2 linked regions of the Macaca mulatta genome follow. The protein of the gene in region 1 interacts with the protein of each later gene in a pairwise test. Links are inferred from orthologs where the notes say so. Each region holds a gene or a part of one and is shown on either strand. Other genes may lie near its edges.

The links.
Region 2: the proteins of PSMA1 (region 1) and keratin, type I cuticular Ha8 interact in binary tests that used the Homo sapiens proteins (3 or more experiments, as listed by UniProt). The two-hybrid records come from large-scale screens. The link is inferred for Macaca mulatta from reciprocal best matches to the Homo sapiens genes PSMA1 and KRT38.

The regions. Positions count from the first base shown.
Region 1 is NC_133419.1:50,939,691-50,942,763, forward strand, and holds part of PSMA1 (proteasome subunit alpha type-1), read left to right. Parts: intron 1-2,779; coding exon 2,780-2,890; intron 2,891-3,073. UniProt on the Homo sapiens protein: Component of the 20S core proteasome complex involved in the proteolytic degradation of most intracellular proteins. This complex plays numerous essential roles within the cell by associating with different regulatory particles.
Region 2 is NC_133421.1:65,782,060-65,786,289, reverse strand, and holds the start of keratin, type I cuticular Ha8, read left to right. Parts: upstream 1-1,430; 5' UTR 1,431-1,492; coding exon 1,493-1,984; intron 1,985-2,171; coding exon 2,172-2,254; intron 2,255-3,047; coding exon 3,048-3,204; intron 3,205-3,548; coding exon 3,549-3,710; intron 3,711-3,792; coding exon 3,793-3,918; intron 3,919-4,095; coding exon 4,096-4,230.

The DNA.
Region 1 (3,073 bases):
GTACAAAGCAGTAAAACCAGTAAATCTCATGCAAAATGTCCTTCGTTATTTTCAGCAGATTGGCCTATCTTGGTATTATTTAGTTAACAAAAATATATATATATTGAGCATCTACCATGTGCAGGCACTTTCTAGGCATTCAAAATATAGTAAACACAACAAATACCTTTTCCTTCATGGAACATACATCCTAGTAGGGAAAGACAGTATACACATAAGTATATTATATAGTATATTAGAAGAAGATAAATGCTACGTAAAAAATAAAAAAGGGTAAAAGGAGAAAGAATGACTTAATTGGATGTAGGTAGGTGGTCAAGGATATTTTCACCAAGAAAATTAAATTTGAGGAAAAGATATAAAGGAGGTAAGTGAGTGTGAGCTATGCAGATGTCTAGAGCAAAATTATTCTAGGAAATACAAATGCAAAGGCCCTAGTATTCAAGGCAAGGAGGCCAGTAGTGTTGGGATCTATCATCAAGAGGAAAAGGAAAGAAATCAGAGAGGTAATGGAGTTCCCATAAGGCATTGTGGGTACTCTGCATTTTACTCTGAGTGGGCTATTAAGAGTTTGAGCAGAGGAATACCATGATTTGGTTTAGGTTTTAAAACAGTCACTCTGGTTGGCATTTTAACAACAGATTGTGGGCTGGGCGTGGTGGCTCATGCCTGTAATCCAAGCACTTTGGGAGGCTGAGGTGGGTGGATCACTTGAGGTCAGGAGTTTGAGACCAGCCTGGCCAACATGGTGAAACCCCGTCTCTATTAAAAATACAAAAAATTAACCAGGCGTGGTGGTGCATGCAGTCCAACCTGGGTGACAAAGCAAGACTCCATCTCAAAAAAAAAAAAAAAAAAACAGATTGTAGGGGTAGATAGATAGTGGGGCTATGGGTAGAAATAGTTTTAAGGCTATTCAGGTAATTCATGTGAGAGATGATAGCGATTGGAACAGAGTGACAGAGTTTAAGATGAAGAGTAGTGGTTCAATTTTGTATATCTTTTGAAATTACAACCAAAAAGTTTGCTAATAGATTTGTGGTAGGGTGTGAGCGGGGAATGTCTCTGAGGTTTTGGGCGTGATTAATTGGAAGGAAAGATTTATGATTTACTGAGGTGAAGAAGACAGTGGGAGGAACAGGTTTTAAAGTAGGCGTTGGGGAGGAAGGTCAGGCAGTCAGTTGTGGACATGTAAAATTTGAAATGCCTTTTTGTCCAATTGACGGTACAGAGTAAGCAGTTATAAGCAACCAATGGAGTTCCACAGAGAGTGATCCAACCTACATTTCAAATTTTTGAAGTCTTTATATAGAAATGGCATTTAGAGTCTGGACTGGAAGAGATTCCTAAAGGAATTGAATAGTTAGACAAGCATTATGAGGACTGGACCAAGAACACTCTAACCTTTAGCGACAGGGAGATGAGTAGGTATTAGCAAAAAAGACTGAGAAAGGTGGTCAAAGAAGTAGGAGGAAAACTTGGAAAATAAGGCATTGGAGGCAAATGAATAAACTTTCAAGGAGGAAGGGCAATGAAGTTGTCACTAAGGACTTGACAAGACAACCTTAATGGAATGATAAGGCAAAAACGTGATAGTGGAATCAGGAGAGAATGGGAGATGAGGAATTGGAGATAGCTCTTTGGAGGATATTTTCTGTTGACGGTCCACAGAAATGGAGTGGTGACTGGAAGAGGAGAGATAAATTGTTTTTTGTTTTGTTTTGTTTTGTTTAAGATGGAAGAAATTACATCACATTTGCTGCATGATTGTGAGAGTAATCGAAGTAAATTTAGGGAAGCATTTATGAGGAAAAATAATGAGAAAATTGTTAGAGCAATGTCCTTTAATAGTACATAGATGGAAGGGTTGGCCTTAGAGAGGAAATTTTAATGGGAAAGGAGAGAATCTAGGGACATAGGTATAGGAAAGAGTGGATACAGTGGGAACTTGTGAAAGTTCTCTTCCAATTGCTTCTGTTTTTGCAGTAATAAAGGAACAAGGTTTTCAGCTGCAAAGAGCTTGGAGAATGTTAGAAGTGTCTTAAAGAAGGGGAGCATGAATGATGTAGGAATGGGTATAGTGGGATCCAGGAACCACTAAGGCCTACTTGAAGTTAATGATCATTAATAAAGTGAGATTAGTCACTTTTATCAAGCCATTTTGTTATAGTGATTGGATAATTATTGTTTAATATCAATGTGAAGACTTTATAACCTGCATAATCTTTTTTAAAAAATGTTTGTAGAGGCCGGGCGCGGTGGCTCACGCCTGTAATCCCAGCACTTTGGGAGGCCGAGGCGGGCGGATCACAACGTCAGGAGATCGAGACCACGGTGAAACCCCGTCTCTACTAAAAATACAAAAAATTAGCCGGGCGCGGTTGTGGGCACCTGTAGTCCCAGCTACTCGGGAGGCTGAGGCAGGAGAATGGCGTGAACCCGGGAGGCGGAGCTTGCAGTGAGCCGAGATCGCACCACTGCACTCCAGCCTGGGCGACAGAGCGAGACTCCATCTCAAAAAAAAAAAAAAAAAAAAGTTTGTAGATAATATAGATCTTTGGAGTTACTCATGATAATCAAAAGTGAGTATTAATATTAAATCTGCAAATGACAAGGGTCTGCTAGTTTCCTTCTTTTTTCCCCTACCCATAAATGGTTTTTAAGGTTTTATTCAGGTGCTATATAAATCCTTATTCTGCTTTTTTCACCCAATATTTTATTATATGTATTTTTTCATCCAAATTATCTTATTTTACTTTTACCATTTCTTACCCTTCAGAATGTTTCCATTGGAATTGTTGGTAAAGACTTGGAGTTTACAATCTATGATGATGATGATGTGTCTCCATTCCTCGAAGGTCTTGAAGAAAGGCCACAGAGAAAGGCACAGGTATAATCATATCACAAGAGGCTTTAGTTCTATTGTAAGCTGCTGTTCTTACCACAGCTGTATCTGTAAATTTTCCATTTTGTCTTAAATATTGAAATGGGCCCATAATTCAAATGGCAACAGGAAAATTAAGAACTGAATAAAGTTAAATATTGAAAGGGCAGTGATCTCCATAAACACAAA
Region 2 (4,230 bases), on another chromosome or scaffold:
AGTACCAAGAACTATCTAAATGTGGAATGTGTAATATAACCATTTTAGAGACAGGGGTTTCCCCTGGCATCTTCTGATTTGGCCCTTGGAGAAACTCTGTTTTATTGTATCAATACCTCCACATCTGAGGTATTTTCTGAGATACAAAGGGAAAAATACACAACGTCAGATTTTTGTTTTACATCTTCACTTCAACTTCTTGCCTGGTTTCTAGGCCTTTGAATCCTTCTTAGTTCTAGCAATGACACAGTAGTTATCCTTGGGGGTGGGAGATTTGGTGGTAGTCAAGGTGAAGAAATAGCTTCTGCAGTTGAAAGAAGCTGATGTTGAGAATAGGCTTTATACTTCATAGTGGGGTTGATCTTAGAAAAATGACTTCACATCTCTTGTCCTCAATGGCTTATTTATTTATTTTATAAAATTAAGAGTACCCACCTCCCAGGTTGGAAGTAAAGATTAAAAGGTATCACTGCTCAATCCCCTAGCTCATAGGGTGAAGGCTCATGACTGATTTTAGAATCAAGGAAGCAAAGTATGAAGAGAGCCCACAGAGGCTCTGATCACTCAATGTTCTTTGGCTTTCATGAGTTCTTTTCTCAAAGTTCTTATTTGAGGTTCAGTAAGATTATTGCTCATTTCTTTTTGTTTTTTTCTGGCTTCTTGAGCTTGCCTTCTTGGTCGAGATAAGCCATGGTTTTTGGAGTCATCCTCATTTTCATAAGCTTCTCAGATACCTTGTTTGAAACATCACATCTATCCAAGTTACAGTTGTTCCCCAATGACAGGAACTGTTCTGTGCTTAACCAACTATATGTCAAGTGTCAGCAAGGTGCCTGACAAATGGGACATAGCTAGGGGATGTGTGTTGAGTGAATGGATTCATCTAAGTCTTGTTGCTCCTCAAAGTGAGTCTGAAAGGCAACCAACTAAAGAAAGAAGAAATGTAGGACTTCTTGATAACCCAAGGCCGTAACATCCACCAATACCAAGACTTAGTTTCTTCCTTGGATAGGGAAGGCTGGTTGAGTCTTAACCCAAGTGAGAACCATTGCCATTACAAGGGTTAGTCCTCCTGCTACACCACTGACCAACAGGAAAGTTTGTGTCTCCAGAGTGGAGACATCCATAAAGAGGCCAAACCCAGTCAAGGTCTAAGCATCTGATGGCTAAAATAACTTTGCTTCTTTGAAAAATAATAAAAACCTTCTGACCTCCCACCAGCAGCCAACCTGATTTCAAAGAGCCAAGAGGCATCTCAGATTCGTCAACATTCCTTTAATGAGCTGAGAAACTTTTCATGGTAAACTCAGCAGCTGAGTAACAGGATGATGGCACCACAACAGGTAGATAATCAAGGCAGGAGGTCAAAGCATTGGAGCCAACACCCACCCAGGACGGGGTATAAAAGGGCTGGGAGGAGAGGAGACCTCAGTCTCAGTGGCTCGGCGTTCCCAGCTGATCTGAAGCTCCTGTGCAGTCTCAGCCCTACACCATGACCTCCTCCTACAGCAGCTCCTCATGCCCTCTGGTTTGCACCATGGCTCCTGGAGCAAGAAATGTCTCTGTCTCTCCCATCGACGTTGGGTGCCAGCCCGGGGCAGAGGCCAACGTTGCCCCCATGTGCCTTTTGGCCAACGTGGCACATGCCAACCGAGTCCGCGTGGGGTCGACTCCCCTGGGCCGCCCCAGCCTCTGCCTGCCCCCAACCTGCCACAATGCTTGTCCCTTGCCAGGGACCTGTCACATTCCTGGCAACATTGGAATCTGTGGGGCCTATGGTGAAAACACCCTGAATGGCCATGAGAAGGAGACCATGCAGTTCCTGAACGACCGCCTGGCCAACTACCTGGAGAAGGTGCGCCAGCTGGAGCGGGAGAACGCGGAGCTGGAGGCCACACTCCTCGAGAGGAGCAAGTGCCACGAGTCCACTGTGTGCCCGGACTACCAGTCCTACTTCCGCACCATCGAGGAGCTCCAGCAGAAGGTGAGGTGTGGGATCACTTGGGCGTGCTGGGTCTGAGAAGGCAGAAGCCTTCGCAGGAGGAATCCACATAAGGTCCAGAGAGCTTTGGGTTCTTGGTTTCTCTTGGACATGAGCGTAGACACCACACGTGGAGTGGGAGCTTAGAGTATGATGCTTTGTGTGTGAACCGTCTTTCCGTTTTCCTCAGATCCTGTGCAGCAAGGCCGAGAATGCCAGGCTGATTGTACAAATTGACAATGCTAAGCTGGCTGCCGATGACTTTAGGATCAAGTAAGTCAGGTGGAGGAGGGCCAGGGTGACTCCCTCCCCACCCTCCATCCCAGTGCCCAAATACTTGTTGAGTGAGTGAATGTTTGTCCTGTCTTCCTTGCTAGATTCTCCACAGTAAAATTTTCATTACAATCAAAGCTGATGAAAGATGGAAGGGAAAACTCCTCATTAATCCAAGCATATATGTTTGTCCTCCTTCATTTATTTCCCTAAAATGGAGGATAAGGGAGCCTGAGTTCATTCACCAGGAGCAAAATGAGGGGATTTCAAGGATGAACTGAGCAAGACAGCCATTGGGTTTCATATATAAGTCAGAGAAGTCGTTTACAGATGAGTCTTTGTTCAGATTTAATTATGGAGCCCTAAGGTACCAGGCATAAGGTACCTAGGCAAAAATGAGAGAGGGGAAGACAGCTGAAAAGTAAGGCATAAGGAGCCGCAGATCACGATCAGGCACCTGGCTATTGCTTATCTTTGGTAACTGACAGTCCCCGCAATGGCACGAGTGTTGGTCCCAAGATGCATGATCTTAGGCAAGTCAGTTCATCTTCCTGAACTGCAGTTGCCACAGAATACAATGGCAAAAATGTATATTGTGCAATGTAGTGTTGTGATTGCTTCATTAGACCATGAGCTCTTTGAGAAGGGGGGCTGTGTCTAATTCACCTTCGAGGCCAGAGGGCTAAACAGTGAACAAATGAGGATCCAAGGTGGTGTGGGAGGTAGGAAGGCAGGGCAGCCGAGAGGGGCTCTTGGGGCATTCTTGTTGACCCTGTACCTCCCGTGATGGAAGGCTGGAGAGTGAGCGCTCCCTACGCCAGCTGGTAGAGGCGGACCAGTGTGGGACGCAGAAGCTCCTGGATGACGCGACCCTGGCCAAGGCTGACCTGGAGGCCCAGCAGGAGTCCCTGAAGGAGGAGCAGCTGTCCCTCAAGAGCAACCATGAGCAGGTGTGGCCCTGGCTGCTCAGACTCCCGGGGAGGGTGCTGGGCAGACAGGGGAGCTCCCTGGCCCCGGGGCTCTCAGAGCATTGTCTGGGCTCAGCTGGTATCAGGATGCAGGACTGAGGGGGGTCTGAGGGTCCAGAGGGCCTCTGTGGAAAGTGCAGACTTGCCTTGGGCACGAGGAAGGTGTCCAGGTGGGCTCTCCCCACTGCACTCTCAGCAAGACTTTCCCATTTGCTTGTGTGTGGGACTCCCCTCCCACTGCTTGCAGGGTCAGGGTCCTGGTGCTGTCTGCTCCATCAAAGGTCCTCTCTTCACACAGGCTGTCTGTCCCTTCCTCCTTTCTGCAGGAAGTAAAGATTCTGAGGAGTCAACTGGGGGAGAAGCTCCGGATTGAGCTGGACATTGAGCCCACCATTGACCTGAACAGGGTGCTGGGGGAGATGCGGGCTCAGTACGAGGCCATGGTGGAGACCAACCGCCAGGATGTAGAACAGTGGTTCCAAGCCCAGGTGAACGAGGGGTGGGTACAGAGCTGGAGAGTACCTGGCCTCCATCTGGGCAGGGAGGTGACTATGTCTCTCTGTGCTCTAGTCTGAAGGCATCAGCCTGCAGGCCATGTCCTGCTCTGAGGAGCTGCAGTGCTGCCAGTCGGAGATCCTGGAGCTGAGATGCACGGTGAATGCCCTGGAGGTGGAGCGCCAAGCCCAGCACACCTTGGTATGTGTCCTTCACCCTCACTGCACTGCAAATGCCCCATGCCATGGCCTAGTAGCCTTTTATTTTGGAGGTCTCACCGCCCAGGTTTCTCCCACCTGTTATCACCATCAAAATTTGGAGCATGTAGCAGTTTCCCTGGGGCCCTTGCACATTTTATCCCCTTATTTCCCACTACAGAAGGACTGTCTGCAGAACTCCCTGTGTGAAGCTGAGGACCGCTTCGGCACGGAGCTGGCCCAGATGCAGAGCCTCATCAGCAACGTGGAGGAGCAGCTGTCCGAGATCCGGGCTGACCTGGAGCGGCAGAACCAG